3 linked regions of the Pelodiscus sinensis genome follow. The protein of the gene in region 2 purifies or fractionates together with the protein of the main gene of each other region. This does not show direct contact. Links are inferred from orthologs where the notes say so. Each region holds a gene or a part of one and is shown on either strand. Other genes may lie near its edges. The genes, in order: SMARCA5, BAZ1B and MYO1C.

Region 1 (10,036 bases), on a different chromosome or scaffold from region 2:
GAGGCACTGGAGAAAAACATAAGAACGGCCGTACTGGTCAGACCAAAAGTCCATGTAACCCAGCATCCTGTCTTCCAACAGTGGGCAATGCCAGATGCACTAGAGGGAGTAAACTGAACAGGGAATCATCAAATGACCCCTCCCTGTCACCAATTTCCAGCCTCTGACAGACAGAGGCAAGGGACACCATTCTTATACATCCTGGCTAATAAGTATTGACGGACCTAACCTCCATGATCTTGTTCTTTTTTGAGCCCTGTTAAAGTCCTGGTCTTCACAACATCCTCTGGCAAGGAATTCCACGGGTTGACTGTGAGTTGCGTGAAGAAATACTTCCTTTTGTTTGTTTAAAACCTGCTACCTATTAATTTCATTTGGTGACCCCCTAGTTCTTATGTTAAAACATTCACATAACAAAAAAGACAATCCCTGCTCCAAAGAAATTACAGGCAGTCCCCCGGGTTACATGGATCCGACTTACATCGGATCCCTACTTACAAACGGGATGAGGCAACCCCACACCAGCTGCTTCCCCCCAGCAGACCAGGGAGAAGCGAAGCTAGCACCCCCCTCCCCCCCGAGCAGACCAGGGAGACGCTGAGCGGCTTTTCTCAGCAGACACCTCAGCTTGAGAATAAAGGACTGAGGGAAGTGAGGTGTGGAAGAATAAAACTGAGCTCTGGAGAAATGTTTGGCTAGAGTTTCCCCTACAATATGTACCAGTTCTGACTTACATACAAATTTAACTTAAGAACAAACCTACAGTCCCTATCTTGTACGTAACCCGGGGACTGCCTGTATAGTCTAAGTAGGGCTAGAGACTTTGCTGGCTATACTGCCTCTGATCATGTGTAACACTCTTATGCATTAATTCCTCTCTTTTTTTTTTCCTGTTGTTTCATGAATGAACTATATACTGTATATAATTTAAAGTAGCTCTGAATTTTATTTATGAGGAGGAGGGATTTTTTCCGTGGAAAAATCCATTGGCCTGAAATTCAGGAAACCTGGCATCCAACTTACTCAAGCATGTTTTCTTTACTTGAATGGGGAAATTATTTGTAATATTTTCAATTGATGATCGGGTTCTGATTTCTACTATATTGACTGGGGGAAAACATTGAAAGACTTCTATGCACACATTTCAGCTAAGGATTGGTAAACTCAATTCAATTTTCTATGTTGTGCCAGTGGTTGCTCAAAATGGGAATTATCTGTGCTATATTTACACTTGAGAGTGTCTTGTAGAACTATATTCCTGGTCTATATCTCCAGGAATCTTTCCTGGCTTCTCCAAGTAGGCAATAGTTAAAGACTTGGTAAACTTCAGAAAGAGTGCTGTTCATTATGTAGAGCAAAATTTGCCCTGTGTGGAGAGGGCCTACACAAGCTCTATACCCCGTTTTTAAGTCTTCTAGCTAGAATTTCACTTATACTGCATATCCTCAGTAGCATCTTCACTTCTCACACTTGTGATTAATATTCCGCATGTAATGAAATGGGAACAAAAGTGGTGCCTTTTTAAAAATATCTTTCAGAACCCTTAGCTGACTACCATTTATTCTTCTGACAATGCAGTCTCTTCATTACAGATGCCTTCTTATTTTTTGTGTCAGATTGTGATCTTTCTCTGAAACTGTGTATGAGCACTGTCACACCTTCACCTGTCAGCTTTGGCTACACATTTTCAAGTCCCCTGCTTTCACATTCTAATGAACTTAGTACATTATGTTGCTTGTGAAATATTTTCCTGTAGACATAGCACATCTGTCGAGGTCACACTGATTTCCTGAGTCTTTGGACATCATTAAAAATTATTATTAATTGTATTTGAAAATTAAAATCTGTCATATTTGAAAAGCAATGACTTTGAAAATAGGTACTTTTTTACTTCATTTTCCTTCAGAGAGAGCAGAACTCTCATGAACATGTTAAAGAATCACCAAAGCTCTATCACATTATTATTTAAAACAATTGTTAATGTAAAAAGGAGTTAGAACATGTACATGAACCAATAATTTGCATTTTTACAGAAACAAAGGAATTACTGTATTGTGGATAAATATAAAGCTCATATGAAAAATTCAGGTATGTAACCCAAACATAACCTACATATAACTAGGTAATCTTGGAGTCAGTGGAATTAGGTGCCTAGGCAATTTGGAAATCCTACTTGGCATCCATCTAAACCTTTTGGGACATAAATACTTTTTAAAAATCTAGCCCCAGGTTATGATTCAGAAGGAAACTGTTTTGCTTGGTGAAGGTATGAAAACCGAGGAAACTAGATTAAAATGCTATGATGTAGGCCTCAATCCTACAAGTTTATAGGCACAGGCAGATCTGGAGTTCCCCTGAAGTCATTGGTGCTCTGTGTGGATGCAGCAGTCCACCTGCATATATATGAGTGCTCAGAAGCAGGGTACTAGAAGCTTTTTTTCATATGCAACACCTGCTTTTAGTAAAGTCCAATTTAATACCAATTTTATACCCTATTTTCAACCCATAATTGACTTTCACACGGAGGTCAAGTGACTTGCCCAATGTCACACAGTTAAATGATTTTTTTTTTTAGGTGAACCTGATGGCTTCTAGTCTTAGCCAGGAAACAATGTCACTCAAGAACTGATCAGAGAGAAATCAGGCTTCATTCTACAACTAGGATTTTGAGGATAAGATATGTGTTTGCATTGAACCCATATAAATATGCATGGTATATGAGGCTTTTCAGTCACAGAAGTGTGGTAAATAAAAACAAAAAGAAGCATCTTTTTCATTTTGATTTTTGTTCAGCAAGAGACAGCATCAGTTACAGAAACTCATTCTCCAAGGAACTCTAAAAAAAAATAAACTGATGTCCAGATTCTGATACTACATAGGTATATGTTGTTCTTTTACTTCACTTGAAGTTGCATTGAAGTGAAGTTTGACACAGATATGTTGTCAGGTATTATATGGGGTTTTTTTAGGGTCAAGTTTACTAAAGCTGGAATTATCCTACATGTGGTATTTTTTTTAGAGTCTGTATTGCGCAAACAGCCCTACATATGGTCAACTTACAGTTCATTACATTTAGGGTGTGCACTAAAAACATACTTAATGCTATTCATTTTGTATGAAACATTTTGCAAGCACCATTATGCTATAACTTGAATAAATCCAGTATAGTGCTTACTGTACTTAAATTTAGTAGCACATATGAACAATTAAGTATGTATAGTCAATTATGTTTTAACATAGTTCCACTGAATTGTTGAAATGGACATACGATAAGCAGATTTTGTTTTGGTTTTGGGTGAGAGAGAGATGGCGTCACAATTTGGGTTTCAAGCAGTGTTGATATTGTGAAACAGTATCTCAGCTGGCTGGGTGTAACTGAGACACAGTAATACCAATAAATACATGTGCCTTTTCAGCACTGTGATCTGTAGAAATCCTGATCTCCTGAGGATGGAATAAGTATTGTTGGATCATGGAGATAGTGATTTGCATAGTATTAAAACAGGCCCAATCATGTTTGCTCAAGTGTCTTGCTGGGACCAGTGTGCTTGTTTGCTCAAGTGTCTTGCTGGGACCAGTGCTTACTTCAGTGGGGCCAGGATTTATCTAAAAACTTAAAAGAAGGGGTCCTTCCTTTCAAACTTATGAAGGAAGCAGGGACAATGTGTCGGCTCTCCACTAAAGCATGCTAAAGTAAAACTAAGAAAGGGACTTGCTAAGGGAATTTAAATATCGTGAGGAGGGGAGGCTGATATTGACACATAAAGACTATCCCCCTTTTACAGAGTACAGCATTTCTCCCCAGTTATAGACAATCATACCATTTCCATTTTTTTCTCCAAGAACTGGATTTTAAAAGCTGTTAAAAAAACTGGAACACTTTGTAGACCAACTTTAGGGAAAAAAAACAATATTAGAAGATTTGTGATTTATATTATCTGGAAAGAAGGGAAAAACAAAGTATTAAGACAGTAACTGTGATTCCTTTTTATAAAATGGGAGGTCTTATAAACATCCATTGCTATCTTTTTCTACGTTCTTTCTGCCTCACCTTTTACTTGGAGGAGGAGAATAGAAAATATTCTTTGAGATGACTACCATATTCTGTGAAAGTAAACCTACACAAGTTTACTTGACCCAAATATCCACCAGGTTTACCAGTGCTCAGTTTCTTCAAATCAGATAAGATCAGGTGTGTTCAGAGTGATATGGCCATCAAGTTATGCTTTCACTTTTGATCTTTTTTTTTTTATAGCTTATAAACAGTTTTACAGACACTGAACATTAATAATGTTCTTATTCACCTAATAGGATCTTTTAAAGCAGCATATACCGTATGTGTTTTCCTTATTTAAAAAAAAAAATAAAAACAAGTGTTCAATGAAACAGGAAGCATCGCCTGGGAATTTTCACACAAAGAAAAGCTAATTGAACTACTCTTTCCATTCTGCATATTTACAAATGCTGTGTTATTGCTCAGTTCTCTCTGGAAAAATAAATATCTTAATAAATAGAGGCCTGCAAATCTGTGGATATCTGCTTGATATCCACAGGTGTAGCCGCAGCTTGTTTTTGCAGATATGGATGAAAATAAAAATTTAGTTTTCTAGAACCCTGCAAATTTGTGAATATCCACTTTATATCTGTGTCTATCCATCCTCCGCTCATTTTTGCGGATACAGATGTAGATACAAATTTTGTTTCTGCATAGGGCTTTATTGATAAGGTAGGGGTTTTTTTCAATTATTTTGTGCAGGTTTATGTGTTGTCCTATTTTTTTTTGTGTCTGGCTTGTTTCCTGACTTGTGACAACAGTCTCTTAATGCCTCTTCTGCTCTCAATATGAGTTTTCTTTTGGTATTGACATTGCTACTTTGAACTGAATTTTAATTCTCTCATGCATTTCTTTGTTATGGAGATCTTTTCCAGTTTGTTAATCTCTTCCCTTTCCACTTCTTTGCTTGCTTCATTTTTTCATCTTTTACTTTTACTTTTAAAAACCTTATCGGTGTGGTATGTGGCTCCTGGATCCAATGGCTCTTCATTTTCTCCTGTAATTGAAATTCTCTTTCCCTTTCCAACTGTGTTCCTAATATATCTATTTCTAGTGTTAGCATCTCCCTATTCACCTGGCTACATAGGTACCTATGAAAGAAAACAATAGAGTCCATTCCAAGGGCCTGATCGAGCATGGCCTGGGGTCAACAGAGGACTCCCCAGCTGGCCTTGGCTCTGTGCAGTACTTCCCTGGAACCTGCTCGGGGTGTTGGGGCAGTGTCTGGGTGAGCCTGGATTTAGTTGGGTAGTCCCTAGCTGAGCCTGGGCTCCCCTGCCCCTTTGAAAGGCACAGAGGCATTTCAAAGGGGGTAGCTGCTGCACAGCTGATCTGCAGACCAGCGGTGTAGTGGCACCATTGCACAGCTGGGCAGTGCTGTCACTTTGACGTACCCCTTCCTTTCCCCCTTCCCCCTTCGCTACCGCTCCGTTTGCTACCGCTAGCTGACTACTAGGCAAAAGGCTGTCCAATAAATTCTTATGGGGTAGTGGACTAGTCTTTAGCAGCCCGGGCTTGCTCTAGGTAAGGTCGCTAACCACGTGCCTGGCAGCAAAACCGCCCTCAGACCATCAACCACCCGAAGCAAGCGGGAGTGTAAAATTAAATATGTAAAAATCAACGTGTCCCCTGAAGGAGGCGCGCCCGGCACACGGGCCGGGCGGCTGCAGCCTGCTGCTCGCAAGGCCTGGCTGGCGGCACGCGGGCAAGCGAGTGTCCCAAACTGAACCTTCCCAGGTGTGACGCTCGCTTAGGGGCGGGGTTTCCAGTTAGGCTCCGCCTCGCCGTTCCTTGTACCCAGCGCGGGGAAGCGGCGAGAGAATGGGAAGGTAGTGACGCAATAAGTCTGCGGTTATCCCGGCTCAACTCCTCGCGCGAGCGCGGCCCCGCCTCCCTCTGTCGTAGCCGGCTCGCCGCACCTCGTGGGAGCCCAACCAGAGACGTGTTCGTTGCGCAGGCGCATTGGCTCCCTGCTGGAGTTCTTGCGAGAGTTGGAAGCCGGCTCGGTTGGTTCCTGGTTGGTGGGGAGCGCGCTGCGAAAGCCGGGGCGGCAGCAGTGACAGGGAGGGGGGAATCCCCTCGGCGCGGAGTCTGCGAGCGGCGCCCCCCCCCCCTTCTCTAGCCCGTCCCGCCCGCCGCTGCGTGCAGGGGTCGCTTCTTCTCCCCGCCCAACGGGCGCGGCGGGAGCGGGCTCCCGGCCCGGCATTGTCTGCGGGGCGCGCGCGCCGGGATCATGTCCGCCGGGCAGCAGGAGCCGCCGCCGGATGAGACCCTGTCCCCCGCCGGCACCGCCCCCTCCTCCGCAACCACCAGCAACGGCGGCGAGCTCGCGGGGGCGCCGCCTGTCGGCGCGAGTGACGCTGACATGGAGGTGAGGAGACCCCCCCCCCCCCAAACCCCGGGACCGGGCGTGAGCCGGGGGGGCGGGGGACGCTCTGGAGCTGGTGACGATGCTCCGGCCCCTCGCTCTCCGAGGCCCGCTCCGGGTTTTCCTGTCCCGCCCCGAGCGGCTCCCTCGGCACACGTGGGGTTCCTCTGTCCGACTCCCCCCGTTAGGGCCCGGGGTGGGGGGTGAGTTGAGTCTCCCCCCCCCCCCCCCGTCTGTCCGCAGAGCCGCGCAGTAACCGGTGGCCGAGCCCGCCACCACCCGTCGTGCTGTGCCACGAGGGCTGGGGCCGGCAGGCTGCGTGAGCCGCGTGGGGCAGAGACAATAGAGCGGGCGGGCGGATGAGGAGCCTTCAGCGGCGCGTGTGAATGGAGCGGAGCCGAGCTGAGCCGCCTCCCCTGTACAGCGTGTGCGCCTCGTCTCTCTCTCTTTGGTTCATGAATGAATTGGGGGCGGTCAGGAAACGGGAGTCGCGTCTCGTTGTGTCTAGGGGCTGTGGGAGTCTCCGCGATGCTGGGAAGCGGGTAGCAGCTGTTACGTCGGCTTCCCACCCCTTCAGCAGAAAGTAGGTTCTTCTCTCTTTGTCACATACGCACCCTCTTCCCGTTGTTTGTTTTCTGTTCACGGCTCTGCCTGTCACTTCGGTGGGCGCTGTGTACCTCAATATATGCAAACAAGAGGTTCCTTCCCCTTTATGAACGATGTACCACAGACTGCTACGAGAAAAAGAACACAAAGAAACATTGACGGCTGCTCTCTGACTGATAGACAATGAAAACAATCTGAAATTGGATTTTTGAAGGCAAGCTGGAATAGTCACAGGTTTCCCAAATGTGGCCAACTCTCCTTTCTGTGTTCTGTTTTATTCCAGGAGTATCTAGCTAGAAATTTATTTTTCCTTTTTTCCCCCAGGAAGTTCTTTTTGTAGTGCAGCTGTAACTGTTGAATTAATTCTTCTATTCTTTCTAAGTGAGCTTCCCAGCAAAGATTTATGTTTAGCTGTGCTTTCTCTTTAAGTTATGAAAAAAACAGAGTACATCTGGCAACATTTTATAAAGCAGTGGTATCATCTGTTGTTTGAAATGTCTTATTTTGGCAACAGGTGCCTAATTCAGAAATGTCAGGGGGTTAGGAGAACCTGGGATTTGAACTAATGCCTAGAGATGATTGTTTTGTAACAGCATTTGTTTCTTTAGCCATACATGGAAACTAGTTTGTCTGCTTTTTATTGATGAATATTTCATGTTCTGAATCATTCTTTACAACCAACCTACTTAATCTGACTAGTTTGCAAATTCCATTTTCTTAGAGTAGCTCCTTCAGATGAACAAATAACTAAAACATTGTGGGTAATAAATCCTATTTAAAAACATAAAAGCTAAGCTGGAAGCTATTAAACAAGGATTTTTATATGTTTTTTGTCTCTTGTAAAGTTATAGTTCTCAAGAAGAAACCAAACCACTTTCAATGTTTATTTAAAATATTTCTTCATGTAGTTGTATCTCTTTTAAACTGGATTGGAAAGTTTCCTTATGAAGATTTATAAGTGCTTTGCCTCCTTCCTCTGGAATATTGCTTTACATTGATTCAGAAGGAAAGATTGTTAGCTATTGTTACCAGATTTGGTCCTTTCCTTCCTCCCTCCTCTCCCCCCCCCCCCCCTCCCGAGATGGCTTACTTAACTAGCCAAGACCCAGCCATAACCCAACCCCCCTTCCTCCTTTCTGTATGAAGAGCTATTAGGATCTTGTCTGCACTGGCTTTTTTTAAAATCTCCTACTATTAAACTACTATTGCTACGTCTCAGAGGGATAGCCATCATAAAGTTAGGAATAAAGACACTACCTGGCTAGCATACTACCTTCCATGTTCTAATGACTTAAAAAAACCAAACAATGGGTACTTAAGATCAATTTCCTCCTTCCCTATCAGCTTCATGTAATGTGTACACTCTAATACTACTTTCCCTCTTTTTCACTTCCTTCTCTGCCCCTCCCCCCATTTATTTTGGAACTGGACCTTTAATAACTATTCATCTGAAGAAGTGGCTTGTGCACATGACAGCTCATGATGCCATCTACATGTTTTGTTGGTCTTTAAGGTGCTTCTAGACTATTTGTTGTTTTTTAAGTTTTTCCAGAGATAGTCGTTAGTCTGTATCTGCCAAAATAGTGAGGAGTCCTGTTGCACCTTTACTTGCATTTGATTAAATGGATTTTTGCCCACAAAGACTTATGCCCAAACAAATTCTTTATGGTGCCACATGATTTCTCATTGTTTTTACTACTATAGATTTAACTCTTCTGTTAGTAATAATGGTGAGAAAGCTAATGTAGGTTAGCTGTTGGTGTTCTTAAGATTAGTGGATATATGGTGATAAAAATTTTGGTGGACAGGCAATGTTGCTGACCAGTAGTAGGAAACCTAGTTTAAGGGAAAATGCTAATATAGATACATCTTATGAAGGTATGAAGAGCAATGACACTTTGTTCTTTGGATAGAAACTATAGCTTCCATATTGAGAGAGACATACCATAATTAGGTATTGAAATTAGGAAATCTTCATTTGAGAATTTTTGTTCATACAGTTCCTTCTTCTATAAATGAGGCTCAACATCATAGAGTGAAACAAATGTTACACTTTTCAAAAGAGGAAGAAAGAACAGCTGATGAGTTTACAAAGAAGATCAAGAATGATTTGAGTTCATATTTAGTTGAAGTGTTCAATGGTGTCTTGACTATTTTATGTATGCCTAGTTTCAAAATCTTACCGAAATGTTAAAGTGGAAAATGCTTGTGTTAAATTCAGTCTACAGTTGTTGCCCATTGTCTTTTGAAGTTGTACAACTTAGGGATATTAAAGACTAATTGATCTCCCTCCTGTCCCCCCTGCTGCCTCTGTTAAATAGAGGCAGCAAAGGGAGGTGGGGGGTGGAAAGCGGCACTTGAAAGCGGCAGCACCGCACAGCTGAGCCCAAGATCAGCTGTGTGGCGCTGCTGTTTTGAAATGCCAAGGCTCCTCAGCTGACCGCAGGTTCCTTGGAAATGCTGCACTGGAGCACAGGATCAGCTGGGGAGTCCCCAGATGACACCAGGCTCCATGTGCGCAGCGGCTGCACAGCTGATCCCTGGCTCAGCTGTGTGGCACTGCACATGGAGCCCGGGGTCAGCTGGGGACTCCCCAGTTGATCCTGTGCTCCAGTGCAGCATTTCCGTAGAACCTGGAATCAGCTGGGGACTCCCTAGCTGACTCTGGCTCCATGTTGTGCTGCCTCTGTGAAATGCACAAGAGCCCCCGCTAGGTACTCTTGTACATTTCAAAGCTGACACCTTGTGCAGCCCGGAGTCTGCAGGACTTCTTGCTGGCCCCGGGCTGCATGCGGAAGTGCCTATTGAGTAGTTGATGGAAATTCTTAATCTGACTAGTCTGAAATTCCATCAACTACTCAATTAGTCAGTGAACTGCTAGTTAACACCCTTAGTGTAACTATCACTTTAGGGTGTATCGATTCATGTGTGTAACTTGTCAGCAGTGTATGTCTCTTATTCAGGGGTCACAGCCGTTCTGCTTGTCTCTAAGCATGAAGCAGGAGAGG
Region 2 (10,456 bases):
TGCTTCTTTTTGCGCAAAAACTCCTTGTGCAAAAAGAAACAGCAGAAAATATGCTAAGGAGATCATGACTTATGCTTAGAAGAGCATGAGTCCCTCATTAGCATATTTTCTGCCGGAAGAACTTACCATGAAAACAAAGCCCAACACATTAAGTTTCCAGAGCATCAGTAATGACCTTCATTAACACATTTAGAATTATGAAAAGAGCCACCCTTCATATTTCCAACTTCACATACAAGTATGAAACATGCACAAAAATAGGATATATATATATTCAGCAGATTGCAGGGTTAAAATTAATAAATTACATGAAGTATTTTGTCTCAAGAGTCTCCGAGTTATTCAATTAATAAGCCATATAACACTGACACTAAACAATTTCTCTTTTTCCTTGGCAATTCTACCTTTCAAAAACTTGCATACACCTTACATCCTCTTACTCACTAATTAATCAGCCAAGTGGATAAAAATACGATTAAAAATTGTATTTAAAACAGACATTTTGGTATTTAAATTTACCACAGGCTTTTTTTTAATTAGACTGATCTGAAATTATGACAACCAATGTACAGGTGTAAATATAACACTAAAATAATTTAAATTAAATACACATATACTAATATTTACTTTCAACAACTTAAAGTCAAATCAGTGGTGGAAGCCATTGGCTAAGCACCCGGAACCAGAGTTTTTTCCAAGTGCTAAGCCAGCTTTTGATAGTAGGAGCTAGTTCTGCAGGTGCAGAGAATATTTTCTTCACTGCAATTTATTCAATTAGTTCAATAAAAATTAAAAATCAATAGGAAGCTGAATTAGCACACTTCCCAAACAGGAATGAAAACTAAGTGTAAGAGTGAGATCTACTAGTTCTAAAAACTGAAGGGCATGCTGACAAGAAACTAAGTTTAGTTTATTAACTGCAAATATCTCCTTTGCTTAATAAATCAGTTTTGAATTTAAAACATGTTGAAAAATTTCTATGTATCCAACATATTTAATGTAATTTTTTTAAATGTAAAAAGCCTTTACGTTTTAAATATTGTTGATGTTTGTTACTTTATTTTTACACTTTTTTAAAATGCCAAATATCTGAATACATGCACATTATGCTATAGAACTGCTTAAATAAATGTGTATTTAGTATAGATTTGGTATAGCCTCCTCGCAAAACGGAAGGAGGAAATTTAGTGCAAAGACCATATTTAATTGCAAATCAATGTTTGCATAGTAATCAACTAAAAGCAACTTTTCTTTAGGAAAACAAGTACAAATGCAAAACAATTAAAATGTAGTGGTTTAAATCAAGGTCTACTACTTGCTGATTTAAAAAAATTATTAAAATCAGTGATATAAAAATCAATATTGAAATTGTAATCTTCATTAAAGCCTCCAAGCTCTATTCTTATGGCTTTTGAGCTCCTTTCAAGGTCATATACCATAACATCTACATGTTTTGTTAGTCTATAAAGTGCTACCAGACCATTTGTTGTTTTTTAAGTTTATCCTGTACAGACTAACTCAGCTACCCCCTGCAGCTTCTGAACATCTAAGATTAGCCACATGAACTGTAGATTAGTCAGTTTTAAATTATTTTAAATTAATGCTTTGAGTTAAGTAAGACTCTATAACATCATTTCATTATACTCAGTGTATTAGTAATACTTGTCTCAATCTCAGACTTATACTTCCCTCTCAAAGACTACAGAATCCTTCCTCTCCGTATAACATGGCTGCAATTCACAGCAAAGTAATAGAAACTTTCTAATGCAAGTTCTAGAGCCCCTTTGTCTCACATGCTGCCAAAAATCTCTCAAGTGCACTCTAGATCTTTATACATTTCCTCCACAATTTAAGTTCTCCTTGCAGTTTCCAGCCCATTGTTGTACAGAGGAAAGATCAGTCTCCAGGGACAGTAGTATATAGTTAAAGCCTATTTAAAAATAAAAAATACACCTGTCTACATAGATATGCAAGTCCTCCACACAGAGCTGCTGGTTCATCTCCTATGATGGAGATTTCATGTGCCTACCACTCACTTCCCACTCTTCCTCCCTCCAAGAAGTGGTGAAGAATGATTATTACACTTTGAACTTGTATCCTATTTTTTATACAGAAGGATCCCAGAAGGCTTGAAACTGTACAGAGAAAGAATCCACTGCAGACAAGCAACATGTTGTATGTTTCTCAATTTCTCCCACAACAGCTGTACTTTCCACAACACCACTTATGCAAGAAACACATTTTCTAACTAAGTCTGTCCTTTAAGTCCCTCCCCAAGACCCATTTCTGCTCCAATTATTAGAGTAAAATGAAGCCTACTGACAACTATTACATAGGGCCAGTTGAGGCTTCTGTTTTTAATCTCATTAATACTTATACTATGACACCCAAATCCTAATATCTGCATACAGACCCAGCCTTATGTGTTCTTATTGTCTGCCCCATTCTCTTGCTATACTCTATTTTGCCATGTCTTACCTTAGGATATAGATGTCAAGCAGGGACCAACCTTCTACTCTAGCTCTGATCCCACACTTCAGCCAGGCCTATACGGATACAACAACTTTGCTTAAGGTGTGAAAAATCCACACCACCTAAGCAACATAGTTATACCAACCTAACTCCTGGGGCAGATGTTATGTCAGTGGAAGAGCTTCCCCTGTCAACATAGCTACTGGTGCTCATGGAGGCAGATTAACTATGCTAATGGAAGAATCTCTCCCATCAGTTTAGGAGCATTTTTATTTAAAGCACCAATGTAGCATTTTAAGTGTAGATCGCCCCTTATGTGCAAGGAGAACAAATAGTCAAGGATTAAAATGGGTTAAGTCTAATGGTTGTCTGTGCTCATGAAGAGTTGTAATTGCAATTTCCCACAATGCAGGTTATCACTGACACAGCTATTCACAAACATAACATGCAACATCTTAGGGCCTAAGCTTGGGCAAGACTAGTCTTCTTAACCATTTCAAATGTTTATGCAGCAAGCATATATGCTAGATATTCTTTTTAAAATCTTATCCTTTGTCAAATAAACCCTTACACTGGGATTTTCTCCTCCCCCCTCCCCCCCCATCCTTTCATTTTACAAAGTTAAGAATCATAAAATACATATCTAATTTTACAAAAATATCCTGGGACACAAATAGCTTCTCTCAATCCTCTGCATTTCAGACTAACCGTAAGAACCTGAAACAGTCCGTTATCTGATCAGTTTTTGGAGCCTGAAGCCCTGTTTCCTGACACACCATTGCACAGCCTATGGACTATGGCAAGTGACATTACAAAGCGCGCACACACACGTGTTGGGAGTAGCCGTCTCCTGGAAAGCAGCACGGGAACCTGAACGGGACTAGAACAAACAGAAATTGGGTCGGTGCGAGGCTGGACCGAAGGGCGACGCAGCCAGGCGGCATGAACCTGCGATGCGATCAATTCCGGAGGCAGAGCCCCCCCTCCCGAGCCCCGAGCCAGCGCTGCTCTCGCCGCCCGATGTGCCAAACGCGCGGGCTCCACGGACAGGGCCAGCGCCGGGTCTCGGAGCCGCTGCACCGGCGCAGCGAGCCCAGGGGCAGGGGCGGGCGCTACAGCAGCTCAGGGGCGCGGAGACACGCGGACGCGGCTAGCACTCGGGGCAGCCGACACCCCCTCGGGCCCGCGGGCCGGCGGATACTCGCGGGTGCGGAAGGCCTCCTGCGTGTGAGGAACGATGAACCTCTCGCCCGCCTCCCCAGGCGGCAGCGGCTTAGCCAGCGGGAAGGGCTTGCGGCCCAGTAGCGGCGCCATGACGGGGAGCGGAGCGGCCCCGGCCGGGCCTGGAAACTCCCCACAACGGCCCCGGCGGCGGTGGGACCCGGGCGGGAGGATTGAAAAATGGCGGGAGATTCCCCTCCCCCTCTGCCGAGCGGGCGGCCGGCAGAAGCGCTGAGCGCGCACCCTAACCTGTTAGTACCGCCAGGCCGGCCCTTCCCGCCTACGGCATAGTTGGATTGGTCGCGGTCTAAGTCGGGGCACCCTAGTGGATACATGGCACGCCTGTCTAGTCATCTAGCTCCACCCACCTGACGGACAAGTTAGGCTGCAGAGCGCGCAGGGTGAAAGGTCACCTTATGTAAGCGGAGGGGAGCGCGACTCCATTTTGTGGCCCCCGTTATTTGCCCCGCCTTGTTCTCGCACTAGCCAATGGGAGCACGCCCCCTCTAAATCATCCGGGTATTACGGAGAGGCCGCGCGCCCGGCTTTGTCTCCTCGAATGATGCCCGCATTCCCCCCCCTCTTAAAAGGGTAGCGCCGGCCTGGCGGCTGAAATGGGCCCCACCTCGGACCCGGGCCAGCCTGTCCCTCGCCAGTCCCCTGCGCCCCGCTGGCTCATGGTTTCCAAGCAGCAGCCGGAGGATTCGGGAGACTCGTGTCTCGCCGGGGGCTGCAGAGAGCTTCTGCCCCCTCCAGCTCGCGCCTCTGCCATGATCTGGTTCAGGCTGCGTCTACACCTACAGTGACAAGGGGAGGGAGTTCTCGTGTCCGCAGGATTGAACCATCTCCAGCGAGCGACGGGAGCTCTGCTGACTGGAAACCCATCGTAGGCTGACAGATGTGCGCACACTAGTGCTTTTGTCTGAAACTCATGGAACCGTGGGGCTGGTTTTCACACTTCTGACCAACAAAAGTATTACTGTGTACATAGCCTTACTTGGAAGGCAAAGGACAATGTTTTCTCCACTTGCACAGGCACATAAACCATTCCGTTGTTTCAAATGATGACTGGATTAATGCTTGTCTCCTATCTCAGAAACAGAGTCTACGTCTAGACTGGCTTGATTTTCCACAAATACTTTTAACGGAAAAGTTTTTCGTTAAAAGCATTTGCGGAAAAGAGCGTCTAGATTGGCACGGACGCTTTTCCATGGGCGGGCCTGCGCATGCACCCTGCGCCCGGGGGTGGCACCGCACACCAGGGCCCAGGGCACCAAAAGGGTTCGGGCCAGCCCTGTGCACAAGAACTCTTTTGCATAAAAGTTCTTGTGCAAAAACTCTTCCAGAAGGGAGCGTCTACACTGGCATGTGCCTTTGCGCAAGAGCATCCGTGCCAGTGTGGACGCTCTCTTGCACAAGAAAGCTCTGATGGCCATTTTAACAATAGGGCTTTTTTGCGCAAGAAATTCATGTTACCTGTCTACACTGGCCTCTTGCGCAAGAACAGTTGTGCAAAAGGGCTTATTCCTGAGCGGGAGCGTCAGAGTTCTTGCGCAAGAAGCCCTGATTTCATACATTAGAATGTCAGTGTTCTTGCGCAAGAACTCGCAGTCAGTGTAGTCAGGGAGCAAGTTTTGGCGCAAAAGCAGCTGCTTTTGCACAAGATCACACCAATGTAGACCCAGCCTGGGAGTGTGGGAAAGCAAGTGATTTGCAGTGGGAAGGAGGGTGCAGGGAAGCAGCAAAGGGCTCAGCTGGGCTGCAGGGGAGAGAGGCACCAGGAACCCGGGTGCGGGGCTCAGCTGGGCTGTGAAGGGAGGTGCTGGGAACTGGTGCAGGGCTCAGCTGGGCTGTGGGAGTGGGGAGGGTGTCAGGCACCCAGGCACGGGGCTCAGCTGGGCTGCAGGGGATGTGGGAAGGTGCAGGGAACAGATGAGCAGCTCAGCTTCACTGTGAGAGGATGGCACAGGGAACCAGTGCAGGGCTCAGCTAGGCTGTGAGGACGGGGGGAGGCACTCAACTGGGCTGCAGGGTGGGGCAGAGGGAACTGGTGCGGGGTTCAACTCGGCTGTGCGAGGGGGTACAGGGAACCAATGCAGGGCTCAGCTGGGCTGTGGGGAGGTGGTGCCAGGAAGTTCAATGCGGGAGCAGCAGCAGCAGAGGTCCTGAAATGACCTGCCCTGGTCCGGAAAAATCCCTCTTCTGGGACCAGTCAGGTTCCAAAGGTGCTGGACCATGGAGATCCGATCCCTACCCCCCAGTCTACTCCTGCACCCTTGCTTATGGCCAGACACCCTGCCCCCTGTCCAGTCCTGCATCCCCCTCCTTGGCCAGACACCTATCATCACCCTGCTCCTGCATCTACCTTTGCTCCTGCACCCTCCCTCCTGACCACACACTGCACCCTCCCTTGCTACTGCTCCCTCCTTCTGGTCAGACACCCTACTCCAACCCTGCATCTGCACCTTACCTCCCACCCAGACCTTGCAACCTTTTCCCCTTCTGTGCTCCACTTCGCTCCCAGATCCTGCACCCCATTCCTATCCCACTCACTGGCAGCCTTGTACCACACACTGTACCCCTCATTTTTGTCCTCACCTCAGAACTTAAAGGGAGTCCATAAAATTCAACAAAAAAGCAAATGGGGCCGTTAGGAAGCACTAAACCTCAGTCCTCCCTGCCTCTTCCCCTCACCCCATGGAGAGCCAGAGCAGTGAGGTGTCTGAGTTGGGAGCCACCTCAGTGAGGGTTGGGGGTTTGGGGAGGAATTTTTTTGTTTCTCACTTGTGTGGTCACTAACTGATTTTTCTCTGTGCCAGTGGTCCCCGGCCCAAAAACGTCTCCCCAGCCCTGCCATAAATAAAGAAAACATTGAAACCCTTTTGGCTACGTCTACACTGGCCCCTCTTCCGGAAGGGGCATGTAAATTTCACTAGTCGTCGTAGGGAAATCCGCGGGGGATTTAAATATCCCCCGCGGCATTTAAATAAAAATGTCCGCCGCTTTTTTCCGGCTTTTAAAAAAGCCGGAAAAGAGCGTCTAGACTGGCCCCGATCCTCCGGAAAAAGTGCCCTTTTCCGGAGGCTCTTATTCTTACTTCAAAGTAAGAATAAGAGCCTCCGGAAAAGGGCACTTTTTCCGGAGGATCGGGGCCAGTCTAGACGCTCTTTTCCGGCTTTTTTAAAAGCCGGAAAAAAGCGGCGGACATTTTTATTTAAATGCCGCGGGGGATATTTAAATCCCCCGCGGATTTCCCTACGACGACTAGTGAAATTTACATGCCCCTTCCGGAAGAGGGGCCAGTGTAGACGTAGCCTTTGTGTTGAACACAAATGAATATTTTACTTTATTTAAAATGAAGTCTGATAAACTAATATGAGAAAGTTAAAACTCTTAATCTGTTTAATCATTTAAATTAAACCATTCTCCCTAGCGGCAACACTAGCAAAATGGCTCAGGCATAATTATGTAATTAACGGTGAGATTCCATAAGAACATAAGAACGGCCGTACTGGGTCAGACCTAAGGTCCATCTAGCCCAGTATCCTGTCTGCCGACAGTGGCCAGCACCAGGTGCCCCAGAGAAGGTGGACCGAAGACAATGATCAAGCTGTTTGTCTCCTGCCATCCTTAGGCCAGGGACACCGTTTCTATCCCCTGGCTAATAACCTTTTATGGACCTAACCTCCATGAAATTATCTAGCGTCTCTTTAAACTCTGTTATAGTCCTACCCTTCACAGCTAGGAGTTCCACAGGTTGACTACATGCTGTGTGAAGAAGAACTTTCTTTTATTAGTTTTAAACCTGCTGCCCATTAATTTTATTTGGTGTGCTCCGATTCTTCTATTATGGGAACTAATAAATAACTTTTCTTTATCTGCCCTCTCCACACCACTCATGATTTTATAGACCTCTATCATATCCCCCCTCAGTCTCCTCTTTTCTATACTGAAAAGTCCCAGTGGTTTCACCTCTCCTCATATGGGACCTATTCCAAACCTCTAATCATTTTAGCTGCTCTTTTCTGAACCCTTTCCAGGCCAAAATATCTTTTTTGAGGTGAGGGGACCACATCTGTACACAGTATTCAAGATGTGGGCGTACCATAGTTTTATACAGGGGCAGTAAGATATTCTGGGTCTTATTTTCTATCCCTTTCTTAATCATTCCTAGCATCCTATTTGCCTTTTTGACCGCCGCTGCACACTGTGTAGAAGCTTTCAGAGAACTATCCATGATAATTCCAACATCTCTTTCCTGATCTGTCATAGCCAAATTAGCCCCCATCATACTGTACATATAGTTGGGGTTATTTTTCCCGATGTGCATTACTTTACACTTATCCACATTAGATTTCATTTGCCATTTTGTTGCCCAATCACTCAGTTTGGTGAGATCTTTTTGGAGTCCCTCACAGTCTGCTTCTGTCTTGACTATCCTAAACAGTTTGGTATCATCTGCAAACTTTACCACCTCACTGCTTACCCCTTTCTCCAGATCATTTATGAATAAGTTGAAAAGGATTGGTCCCAGGACTGACCCTTGGGGTACACCACTAGTTACCCCTCTCCAATCTGAAAATTTACCATTTAGTCCTACCCTTTGTTTCCTGTCTTTTAACCATAGTTCTCAATCCAAGAAAGGACCTTCCCTCTTATCCCATGGCCATGTAATTTACACAAGAGCCTTTGGTGAGGGACCTTGTCAAAGGCTTTCTGAAAATCTAAGTATACTATATCTACTGGATCCCTCCTGTCTGCATGTTTGTTAACCCCTTCACAAAACTCTACTAGATTAGTAAGACATGATTTCCCTTTACAGAAACCATGTTAACTTTTGTCCAACAAATTATGTTCTTCTACATGCCTCACAATTTTATTCTTTATTATTGTTTCGATTACTTTGCCTGGTACTGAAGTTAGACTTACCGGTCTGTAATTACCAGGATCGCCTCTAGAGCCCTTTTTAAATATTAGTGTCACATTGTCTACCTTCCAGTCATTAGGTACGGAAGCCGATTTAAAGGATAGGTGACAAACCACAGATAATAGTTCAGCAATTTCCAATTTGAGTTCTTTTAGAACCGTTGGATGAATGCCATCCGGTCCTGGAGATTTGTTAACATTAAGTTTTCCTATTAGTTCCAAAACCTCCTCTAATGGCACTTCAATCCAGGTCAGTTCCTCAGATTCATCACCCACAAAGGACGGTGCAGATTTGGGAATCTCCCTAATGTCCTCAGCCCTGAAGACTGAAGCAAAGAAATTATTTAGTTTATCTGCAATGGCTTTATCGTCCTTGATTGCTCCTTTTATATCTCGATCTTTATGGGGACCCGCAGGTTTTTTAGCAGGCTTCCTGCTTCTAATGTACTTAAAAACATTTTGTTATTTCTTTTTCAGTTTTTGGCTAGCTGTTCCTCAAAATCTTTTTTTGCTTTTCTTATTACATTTTTACACTTGATTTGACAGTGTTTATGTTCCTTTCTATTTATCTCACTAGGATTGGACTTCCACTTCTTAAAAGGTGCCTTTTTGTCCCTCACTGGTTCTTTTACATGGTGGTTAAGCCATGGTGACTCTTTTTTAGGTCTCTTGCTATGTTTTTTAATTTGGGGTATACACTTAAGTTGGGCCTCTATTATGGTGTCTTTAAAAAGTTTCCATGCAGCTTGCAGGGATCTGGCTCTAGTCACTGTGCCTTTTAATTTCCGTTTAACTAACCTCATCATTTTTGTGTAATTCCCCTTTTTGAAATTAAATGCCAGAGTGCTGGACTGCTGAGGTGTTCTTCCCACCACAGGAATGCTAAATGTTGTTATATTATGGTCACTGTTCCCAAGCGATGCTGTAACGGTTATCTCCTGGACTTGATCCTGTGCTCCACTCAGGACTAAATCAAGAATTGCCCCTTCCCTTGTGGGTTCCTGTACCAGCTGCTCCAAGAAGCAGTCATTGAAGCCATTGAGAAATTTTATCTCTGCTTCTCTTCCGGAGGTGACATGTATCCAGTCAATATGGGGATAATTAAAATCTCCCATTATTATAGAGTTCTCCATTAGCAACTGGTGGTCCATGGAAAGGTTTACACTTAGCCAAATGGTCCACGGACCAAAAAGTCCATAAGAACCACTGGCTTCTCCCACCAAGAGACCCCCACAGGCTCCTTGCTGCTACACAAGAGCCTACAGAGAGATCAGGTCTGTTACCATAGCAGTGAAATCACTGTCACTGTGGTGTGGTTGATGGACAGACTCTTTGTGAGTCTTCCTCATCCAAGTAGTTGAAGATTTAAACAGCATGTTAAGATGCCACTTAAAAACACTTGGTGCATCCACAGAAAGGCAGGATGTATCATCTTACTTTGGGCCCAATCCTAGCTTAAAATTTAAATTGGATCAGGCCCTTTGTAAGCAGGTTGGGAAGTGTTCTCATTTGGCAATTATTATTAGGTATTATTTACATAATATAGGCATTGCCATCATGGTATTGACATATACCTGAAAGCTGATAGGTAAGATCCCATGAGAATCGAGACTGAGGGGAAAAACAACCAAGGAGAGTTGGCAGTTTTTCAAAGAGACATTGTTAAGGGCCCAAAAGCAAGCTATTCCGATGTGTCGGAAAGATAGAAAATATGGCAAAAGACCACATTGGCTTAACCACGAGATCTTGCATGATCTAAAAATAAAAAAGGAGTCCCATAAAAAAAAAGGAGTCCTATAAAAAATGGAAAGTAGGACAAATTACAAAGGATAAAGAT
Region 3 (11,036 bases), about 15 Mb from region 2:
CATCACTGAATCCCACCCTTTGTCAAAAATAGCATTAAGCTCTGAAAGGCCTGACCTCACAATACCAAATGCTGGTAGCAGCATCAACTAGTTGAGCACATCATGCAGATTTAAACCCTTCCCTCGAACAGAAGTGGCACCTTGTTTGGAAGTCGGCGCTTTTAAAAACAGGTACACAGACATTCTCTTCTAAAAACGGTAAACAAACCATAGGTTGAAAGTTAGATAAAAATTTACCTGCCAAGACCTGAACTATTTTGTAACAGAACTATTTCTTTTGCCACTTAAAATCTTTCCAATTTAGGATCCCTAATCCTAATCTAAAGGCTTTAGCTTTAGTACTAAAGAATCTATCTATATTTCTTCCTTGGAATTAGTAGGAATTGTTTATGATGTATAATGAAGATCTGGTTCCACCCCTGAAAGACAAGTCTTAAACTAGAATTCCATGTGTTTTTAAAAACGAGTCTCTCTCAGTATTTGACACACAAAATTGCCATGCTGTAGGGTCAAATAATGACAATTTCTGTGTTTGACTCCCCAGTTTTCATCTCATCCCTTTTTGTTCATTTCAGATTTGTCCTATGAGATTCTCCTCCCGGTTGATTTTAATTGCATATCTTGAGGCTACCATTCAAGGACAGTCCACTTTACTTGCCATTTCCCCTTCTATGGAGGGATGGGGAATGAAGGGATATAAGACAAGAAGCAAGAAATAACATGCTAATAATTGTATTTGTTGTATTCATTCTACTCCCACTCCCTAATACATTATTTATATTTATATTATCCTAGCATCTAGGATCCCTACTCCTGGGACAGGACCCTATGTTCTACACATAAATCTAATTCTTGTGATTTCAGTTTGCTTTCTGAATGGCCAAAGGGAAAGACAGCTTGTGAGTGGGAATCTTTTTTGCTTTTGTTTCGTGGTAGATGGGGCTATAAATGTGTTGTCGCAAATCTTGTTTTATAAGATGAAGAGAAAGAACAATGACAAATAAATGGATTAGTAAACAGGCCGTCCTCACTGTAAATCCAGGATACATTCAAAAAAATTTGGACTTATAGGGAAACAACTTAAAGGGGGGAATTTTTTTCCCACGGTTGACTTCCATTTGTGCAAACTGGGTTTTTTTTGCACAACTTAAAAGTGGGGAATGGGAGGACTTATAATATATCGGTTCCTACAAGTGCCAACAACTTCAGTGCAGAACAGATATATACCAAGACAACTTATAGCAGGGACACCCTGGATACCTTTCTATTACTTAATGACTAAGGACATATTCCTCCTTGCACACTAAATCCCTCTTATCTTTCCACAGAATCAGAACGTTGCCCATAACATCTAACTCTGTATTCCCAAATAAGAAGAACAGATAACAATAAGAGTCCTTAATGAAGGCAGACTGACACCCCAAACAACAAAGTCTTCATGATTCTCTCAATTCCTGTTTTTTAGAAGACGACCAGATTTTCCAGGATGCTGTCAAATGCTGAATACCCTCGAAGTGTGTTCTCCATAAAACAGAAATCATGTCTTCCTTCGCCAGCCTTCAGATCATCTCCAATTAAAAGAATTTAAGGCAAACAAAATAACGTAGATTAAAAAACCATGACAACAAAACTAGGTATTTAAATTATCTGCTTTGTTTACACGTCAGACCTACCCCACTTCTACCATATTGGTGTTTTCTTTTGCAAGTCTTTTTACTTTAAATGCTTATGTATATTTTGTTATGGTGAAAGTGTTAGACAAATGTAGACACTAAGCACAGAACCAGTACAGTGCTGGTCCAAGTTGAGCCATACTTCTGCCAACAGGCCTCATCCTCATTATGGAAGGACCACCACCTCTTTCTGAGAAGCAAGTTCAGTCACCATAACCACTGACTCTTTCGCCTCACTACTGCAATTGTCAGCAAGAATGACATTGACGAATCAATTTTACATCAACCAATCAGACATCGGATTATGAGACAAGGTGTAAAGGCCCAACCTGGTCACTAGCAAGAATGAGTTAACTCTAGTTCAGCTTCACTTTCTCCATGTAAAAGTAGCAGAGGAAAGGCAAGGAGGCAGAACTGACTGCAGGCCTATGAAAAGGCTATAAGAAACTGTAGCCCTGTCACCTCTGGCAGCTGGCATCATTTGCTAAATACTTGGTCTTGCCATGAGTGCAGGGGCCTGAACTAGATGACCTCTTGAGGTCTCTTCCAGTCCTATGATTTCATGGTGCAATAGCGTAGCTAAACATTGAGAAAACCATTTTATTGCTGCTACAGTTGAGCAGTCACATTAACAAGTCTTGGTTTTGTAGAAAATAGCGTATCCGCTCACAGCATCCCCTTTACACACTTGTCGTTTTACAGTTGCCACAAATGTTGCCCCATAACAGGAGCTGTTCTCAAGTTAGCAAATTATTGTTTTATGCCATTTTAATGAATATTTTAAACTTTTAAAAAATAGCTGAACAGCTTTTCTTTTTACCCTCTCCCAAGATGCAGGTACCCATCATTCAAGGTTTGAGTCAACAGCTCCTTTGGGAGAGATCGTTTGGGTCCAACCAATGACCTGTGCTGCCACATTGGTGGTAATGCAATTTCCAGGCCAGTTAAAAGGAGGATGGGAAAGACGATCATTTGGCAACTGAGAATTTATTATAGGGGCAAGGAAGTTTTACTTAATGAACGTTTGTGCAACTTGTAATGCAGTTAAGCTCTCCAGGTTTCATATGGAAATTTTAAATTGCTTAGTAAAATGGTAGTGAAAGGCAATTGGAGTAACAGATTATGCTTGCTTCAGCATGCCATTGCTTAGCACAAAGCACTTCTGCAATCAGTATTGCACAGATATTTAATAAATGCAACACCAGCAGAAAAATTATAGATGGAATCCAGGGTTGGATAGAGTAAGATTTGACTAATACATGTAGAGAAACGGAAAGTTATTTTTGCATATTACTATATACAGACCAGCATGAAGACTAAAAGGATGATCCAGTCAGTTGTTGGGGCATTAGCCTGGGATTATAGGAGACATCAGTTCAGTTCTCTGCTCCACCAAAACCTTCATATGTGACCTTGGGCATGTCATGTAGCCTCTTTTGTGTTTCAATTCCTTTTCTGTTTTGTGGGGAGAACAGTATTTCCCTACCTCACAGGGCTGCTGAATTCTTTAATGTATTTATTCCCAGAAGCCTCCTAGATTATGGTAATGGGAGCTATATTAGCACCTAAATAGACAGGGGCATATGTACGTAACTACATTTAGGTACGAATGATTTGGCTTAAATCACTTTAGAAAGAATTCAAATAGTTTACGATCGTGTCCTGAGTAGCTCTAGGATGTACAAAAAAACAAAACCAGAAATCTGAAGGAGTGAAAAGTCGATTTCTTTTAGAAGTGAGGTTTATCACTTAAAAAGAAAGACCCTCTAACTAGTCGCACCATATTCTTAATCCAGCTAACCTGACAACGGCAACATCCTAACTGAGGGCATACTTTGACAGTAAAAAAACAAACAATGATTTGTTACTTGACCTTCAAAAACCCAGATAAAAATATGCTGGAAGAGTTTACCTTTCTGAGCTGCCCATTTTAATTTTAGGTCCTTTCCATGAAATTTACACAGATATTGGAAAACTGAATATTTTGAATACAGTCTAAACAGAACACAAATGTTCTGTTCATGTGGAAGCCTAAAAAAAAGAGAGACGATATATTTTCTAGATTTTTAAAAACAAATCCACAGTGGTGCACACAGAAGCATTTAACAATACTTGTGTGATGAGCTATAAGTAAAAACCCACCCAACACTGACTCTCCATTAGTCATGAATATACACACACAGTTCACAGTAATGAGATCAGATACCCAGCTCTCCAAGATGCTGACAAAGTTCACCTTATTTTTCTTGATACATTGCTCTGCTTTTATTTTCCACTATTAATATTTATTAAGCTTTGCATTCAGTTTCTGAAATATGAACCCATTGGCAAGATGGGCAATGAAGATCTAAGAGGGTTTTTTTCCTCCACTCAAGCTCCTCTGAAGAAGTGGGTTTTGCCCACGAAAGCTCATGATATTACTATATATATTTTTCTCAGTTTCTAAGGTGCCACCGGAGTAATCATTGTTATCTAAGAGGCTGGATAGTGTTTTAAAACTGTTTTTTCGCCCCTCAGTTACCCAAGAAGTCCTCTCCCAGATTCTGACGCACCAAGTGCTCCTGGGCTATAACACTATTCCAATTACAAATCATGCCAAGTGTGGTGTGTACACACAAATTGTTTTGAACACTTTTGCCATTTGCTTAATTCCCAGTTACTGACTCTTCTTTTCCCTGAGGTGAAGTATACTACTGCTGAGTTTAAAAATTTCTATTTAAAAGACATGTTTGCATTAGCCTTCTCACATTACATTTTCTCCTGAACTTAAACAAAGGTAACTATTTGAAATTAACTAACTTCAAAGCAAGAACTGAAAAGAGAACAATAAGAAACCGGGCTTACAGTCTTGCACGCTCCATTGTGACTGACCACACGGATGATTTCTCCTGTGGGAATGTACTCAATTTGCAGTTCCATCTTTCCAGAACTAAGCTAATTGATTTCTCTGTCCTTTAGAGAAGGTGCTGACATCAAGGACAGCAACAGTAGTCCCTGAAACCACAGACTGAGTAGGTTCTTTGGTTCAGAAGTCCTACTGTGAGCGGAAGAGCTGAATCCTTGTATTTACACTAAATGTAGGTGTGAGCTAAAACTACAATTAAGTTCAAGCACTAGTTTCCACTAAACTCTGTATTGTTACAATGTGCCAAGACAGTTCCAGGAATCGTTAATTTATGTCCTCGCTTGTTGCTGTTAACTCCAGAAGTTCCATTTCAGACCCAGAGGATTTAAGTAATGTCAGGTTGCTATGGCTGGAATTTGACAGTTTTGGACACAAAAATAATATGCAGTAGTCTTCGAAAGGTCTACCCTGAGATTTTGTGCTGGAAAAATTCACTGTGTTAGGCTGCAAGATGTTGGATTTAAAGAGATGGTGCAAAAGAAAATACCAACTTTTTCCAGTGAAATTCCAGCAAGACCTTCAAATTACTATAGAACTAAATTGTAATTACTTTCTTCCTAGTTAACCAGTTCTGACAAACATCAAACACGCCAACAGTCAATAAAGAAAAGTTACTACACAGCTGCACTTTACTCTGGATTTGGCAGATGTTTAGAAACACTGCAAATGATCCCCACCCTCAAACTCCTAAACTAATATCCTGGACAGACCTAAGAAACAATACCAAGCAATTGACAAAATGCCAGATATTTCAAAACCCGCTGTTGATAGGTAGATATATCCACTCTCAGCAGCCACATTTCAGCCCATACACTTGTTTCCAATGGAAGCTAACTCCAGATGAGGAGGCTTGCTACTGAGAACATGTGAATGGGCCATTTCCCTGATCATAAATTTTTCATTCTTTCAAGGTTGTTTCAAAGGATAGAAATTATTGGTTCCTTTTCCAGAGCTATTTCCTAGGATAAAACATCATTGCTTCATTATTGCTCCAGCTAGGAACTGTCCTGTTCCCACAATTGTAAAGCAGTATCTAATCAATCCTTACTATCTTTGGTACTTAAGAATTCATATCTTTGCATGTGAAACATTTGTTTCTCAGATCTTCAGAGGAATAATTTCAATGACATGCATAAAACTTCTGGATCTCAGTAGCAAACAAAAACGGACAAATAGAAAAGAAAGTGAAAAAGCTAGAAGAATACAGAGAATAAGGAAATACAAAAAGAAAAGAGGAGAGACTCATAAAAAGGCAAAATGACAAAGCAGAGGAGAAGGGGGTGGCCATGAATTAAAGAAGCCAAAAACAACTGTTTGCTACACTGAAATTTCCATCACTACTTGTGTGTGATTGATCTAGTCAGATGCATGCACAGTTGTAGCCATGCAGGTCCCAGGATATTAAAGAGTCAAGGTGGGTGAGGTAAGATCTTTCATTGGACCAACTTCCATTGGTGAGAGAGAAGCTTCTGAGCAGAGAGACAGAGAGAGTGTAATCAATCAAAAATAACCAGATACAGTCAATTCCTGGTCAGAGGAAGGGCTGACAAATAACATTTTCTTATTTTTTTATTCTTGTGATGTCTTTTTCTTCCTGAAATTTCCTTGTGACTTATTTTTCTTCTTCTGGCATCTCACTCTGTTTCCTTCCCCCTTTGCTTCTCTCCCCAGTTTATCTTTCCATGTCTGAGATTTCCTTTCTGACTTCAACGTTTTCCTGCTGTGGCACACAAGCAGGAGAGAGCAGCCAGGTCTCCCTAAACCAGATTTTCCTGCTTTTTCATCTGGTTTCACTATATATATTGTCCTGGCATTGAGCTGTAATAGTCCTTGCATGGGAAAAAAGGCAGGACTCTGTTTAAAAAAACCCTCCGTTTACATTCATTATAACAGAAGCATCTGGGCAAACAAACGTAGAGTTTTCTCTGTCAAACTAATAGTTAAACCTCCCTAGTCCAGCACCATTGGGACCTGACCGGTGCCAAACCAGTGAATTTGCCAGACCACGGGAAGTCACTTTTGTCCAGCAGAATTACAACACTCCCACTGCTTACTGAGCTCTGAGAAGACATTTAGGGGTGAATTTGAGCTAAACAACAGCACAGAGCACCGAAAGCCAGGACTGGTGGCCGTAAACAAACTTTATGGGATCGCAGGAAACTTGGCCACACCCACCCGGCTAAACGAAATCATGCCGGACCAAGGATGGTGCTGGACCAGAGTGTTGGACTAGAGGGGTTCAACCTGTAGCTTCCACTGTCATTAAACAACACCTGTGTTGACAGGTTTGATATCCTAAGCCTTTGGCTGGACAAAGCATAAGAACATAAGAACGGCCGTATTGGGTCAGACCAAAGGTCCATCTAGCCCAGTATCCTGTCTGCCGACAGTGGCCAGCACCAGGTGCCCCAGAGAGGGTGGACCGAAGACAATGATCAAGCGATTTGTCTCCTGCCATCCCTCTCCAGCCTCTGACAAACAGAGGCCAAGGACACCATTTTATCCCCTGACTAATAGCCTTTTATGGACCTAACCTCCATGAAATTATCTAGCTTCTCTTTAAACTCTATTACAGTCCTAGCCTTCACAGCCTCCTCTGGCAAGGAGTTCCACAGGTTGACTACACGCTGTGTGAAGAAGAACTTTCTTTTATTAGTTTTAAACCTGCTCCCCATTAATTTCATTTGGTGTCCTCTAGTTCTTCTATTTAGGGAACTAATAAATAACTTTTCTTTATCGGCCCTCTCCACACCACTCATGATTTTATAGACCTCTATCATATCCCCCTCAGTCTCCTCTTTTCTAAACTGAAAAGTCCCAGTCGCTTTAACCTCTCCTCATATGGGACCTGTTTCAAACCCCTAATCATTTTAGTTGCCCTTTTCTGAACCCTTTCCAAGGCCAAAATATCTTTTTTGAGGTGAGGAGACCACATCTGTACACAGTATTCAAGATGTGGGCGTACCATAGTTTTATACAGGGGCAGTAAGATATTCTGGGTCTTCTTTTCTATCCCTTTCCTAATAATTCCTAGCATCCTATTTGCCTTTTTGACCGCCGCTGCACACTGTGTGGAAGTTTTCAGAGAACTGTCCACGATAACTCCAAGATCTCTTTCCTGGTTTGTCGTAGCCAAATTAGCCCGCATCATACTGTACGTATAGTTGGGGTTATTTTTCCCAATGTGCATTACTTTACACTTAGCCACATGAAATTTCATTTGCCATTTTCTTGCCCAATCACTGTTGCCCAAAGCAGCCACTGAACGAGTGGGGACAACTCTCCAGTATTCTGTACTATATTCTATCTTCCATGGTTTGGACCTCTTCCTAAAATGGCAAGATCCAAGAATGTGGAGGGAGAGAGATGAACTGTATCTAAATAACTAGACTCTACTTCTTTTAAATCCTGCTGTCCACAGAACACAATAGACAGCATTCTTCTCCAAGACAGATATCTGGAGAGAATGAGAAACTGAGGAATCACAATAAAGAACATGAAGTACTTACTCTATGTTCACACTCAGAGCATGAGCTACAACCCGCTAAAAACAATGTAATCGCTCAGTGATGAGTTTGTCTGTGACCTTCACATACATTGTTCTGAAAACAATTGGCTCATTATAGTCACATTTAGGTAGAAAATCTGCCATCACCAGGGTAGAACTAAAATATTCCTGGTAGTCATGCAGTTCTGTCCCCCCCCCTCCGTCCCCCACCAAAAAAGAAACCACAAAACCACCACAGGCTAATTTCTAACTCAAGGAAAACATAATTCAAGCTTTCTTGAACTGGCCCTTCCACTGCAGCATATGAGTTAAGGACAGGTTCATCCGAGTGTCAATGCTGAATGAGCAGAGAAGGAAGTAGTGGTGCTGCACACAATAGTCCTTATCAGAGTGTATTTTTAGGGCATAAAAACACACAATACATCTCAGAAATATTTCCTGTTTACATGCAGCTGTACTACCTATGTCCAGAGATACATTGTTTATCCTTTTGTCAGCTGAGAATTAGAAATTTCCTACATGGATACTAAATGAGGATAAGCTTCCTAAAGTTCCTTGGCAAACATCCTTCCTAGTTTAATAGAAAACAAAAAAAGTACTCTGACAATGCTGAACCATGAAGAGTTGCCATCATTATAGACAGAAGTAGTAAGTGACAATTTGCATTTTAACATGCAATACATAAATTTTGTTTAAAATACGTCTAGAAGCAACAGCTTCTTTGCAGGGAGAGGACAAAACATTCTTACCTTTTAAATCAACCTCTCCAGACTACTGGACCCCTTTCAGGAGTCTGATTTGTCTTGCACATCCCGTTTCACCTCACTTAAAAGCTACTTGCTTACAAAATGAGACAGAAAAAGTGTGTCACAGCACATTGGTATTGACCAATTGCTTACTTTCTCATTTCTACCATATTATTACAACTCAATTAAAATATAAATACTCTCCTTACACTTCAGTGTATAGTATATAGAGCAGTATAAACAAATCATTGTATGACATCTTAGTTGGTACTGACTTTGCTAGTGCTTTCTATGTAGCCTGTGGTAAACTGAGCAAGTATCTAGAAGAACTGATGTATCCCCTGGAAGACCTCTATCTTGGGTTGAGGCCCATTGTCTTAAATCACAAAATTAAACAGTTTTCTTGAATTAACATTAGAATAAATTTATTTTAAAATTAATTCAACTACCTAACTGACTTAAGCATTTTTAAAAAGAACATGCCAAGCAACATAGCTGGAGTCAACATTTCAAGTGTTTAACAAGTAAGAGGGAACCATCGCAAAGCGCTTTGGGCAAGGAGCTAAGTTGCAATCCTTTGTCTGAAATTGTCTGTAAAATTGTTTGGTGTGAGTGAAGAACATGTGTGAAAGCCATCACGGATGTGCAGATCCTCAAGGCGACATGAGACTCTTGGAGATGATCACAGAACATCCATTGTGCCCAAGGCTGAACAAATTAGCAGCACAGACAAGCCTTGAAGACAGGTAGACACTCCCAAAGGTGAGAATACAATTAAGAGATAGCAATGGGAAGCCCGACTATAACTGCAGGAAAACCCCAAGATTCACACATCAAGGACTGCAGCATGACAGTGTAAAACACATAGACTCCAAAGGGATCTTACAAGTACAGGTTGAACATCTCTGGTCCGGCAATATCCGAGGCCAGTAGCCCTGAAGGCAGGAAGTAGAGCCTCGCTGGCAGCCACCAGGGCCTGGAAGCACAGCAGAGCCAAAGCCAACAGCTATGAGAGGAGCTGGTTGCGGAGGCGGGTGCCCTTCTAGTAGAGCCCTGACTTCCACAGGTCTGGCAAACTCCCTTGTGCAGGTCCCAAGTGTGCCAGACCAGGGAGGTCCAACCTGTATAAAATTGGGGTGCTTTTGCCATAGCACACTGGATTCAGTCCTGCCTCAGCTTTGGATCATGACCAACAGAACCCAGCTCTTCACTCGTGTTCAATCTAACTGATCACCAGACTGACTTGAGGAGCTATGACAGATTGGTAACTACAAGCCTGAACCAAGAACTTTGAAAATGTAATTTGATTCTTTTAACTGTTTACTCTAGAGTCCTCTGACACTAACCATTTTATAAAGAGCACCTTCCAACTCCAATAACTAACCAAAGGGTAGTCCTCATGTGATGTTAAGGAGCAGGGATATGGGGAGCCATATAAACTTCCCTGCTCAGTGTTCAGCTCCTGAAATACTTGCAAAGATGCCCACAAATAGAATGTGTCTCCTGTTCAGCAGAAATTGGATTTTGGTCCCCTACAGTCACTAGCTGCGGTCGAGAATTTGAAGAACTGAGTCTTCTAGTCTTTTATATTTTCCCCATGAATCTCTTAATGGGAAGCTGAAAACAGATTTATATAAGCAATTTCAAATTCAGAAAGAAGAGCTTAAAAACTAGTTAAGTTTTTTGATGAAGTAGGGGCATTTGTTACATTTCCACTGAAAATGAAAACTACAAAAGTTCTTTTAGTGTAAAGCAAATTTTACACACCAATGGTACAAATATGACAATGGATACAATGTAATCTCATGTTATTTCAGACTATTAACAATATTATGTTTCAAGACTTAGAGCTGTATTACTTCTTGTGCTGATTCAGAGTATTTTCTGACCCCACATTTGTGTTGGCAACTGAACAGTTCCCAGTGCCAAAGCATTAAGTTCAGATACCTGACAATGTAAATCTGACACTATGGGAACTAGAAACCTCAAAGATGCTCTTTAGTCCAAAGCTCTAACAAGTTAACCAGAGCATTCTACCTGCTGCTATTTCCAAAGCTTAAATCCAAGGTCTTCTTAACCCAGAACATCTTCTACCCCAGCCTAGTTCACAGTGGCACAGTTGCACCAATGTGTGTATCTATGCTGCTGTAAAGTCACTCATGTAGTTGCTCTATGTCAACGGGAGAGAGTTCCCTCATTAACAC

What was found.
Region 1: the proteins of BAZ1B (region 2) and SMARCA5 purify together in Homo sapiens (affinity purification with western blotting; 11 studies listed by BioGRID and IntAct, with this or other methods). This does not show direct contact. The link is inferred for Pelodiscus sinensis from reciprocal best matches to the Homo sapiens genes BAZ1B and SMARCA5.
Region 3: the proteins of BAZ1B (region 2) and MYO1C purify together in Homo sapiens (affinity purification with western blotting; 3 studies listed by BioGRID, with this or other methods). This does not show direct contact. The link is inferred for Pelodiscus sinensis from reciprocal best matches to the Homo sapiens genes BAZ1B and MYO1C.

The regions. Positions count from the first base shown.
Region 1 is NC_134715.1:41,841,354-41,851,389, reverse strand, and holds the start of SMARCA5 (SWI/SNF-related matrix-associated actin-dependent regulator of chromatin subfamily A member 5), read left to right. Parts: upstream 1-6,017; 5' UTR 6,018-6,287; coding exon 6,288-6,425; intron 6,426-6,836; exon of another isoform or gene 6,837-7,005; intron 7,006-10,036. UniProt on the Homo sapiens protein: ATPase that possesses intrinsic ATP-dependent nucleosome-remodeling activity.
Region 2 is NC_134731.1:16,474,503-16,484,958, reverse strand, and holds the start of BAZ1B (tyrosine-protein kinase BAZ1B), read right to left. Parts: upstream 4,388-10,456; 5' UTR 3,787-4,387; coding exon 3,674-3,786; intron 1-3,673. UniProt on the Homo sapiens protein: Atypical tyrosine-protein kinase that plays a central role in chromatin remodeling and acts as a transcription regulator. Involved in DNA damage response by phosphorylating 'Tyr-142' of histone H2AX (H2AXY142ph).
Region 3 is NC_134731.1:1,247,628-1,258,663, reverse strand, and holds the start of MYO1C (unconventional myosin-Ic), read right to left. Parts: upstream 4,720-11,036; 5' UTR 4,593-4,719; coding exon 4,518-4,592; intron 1-4,517.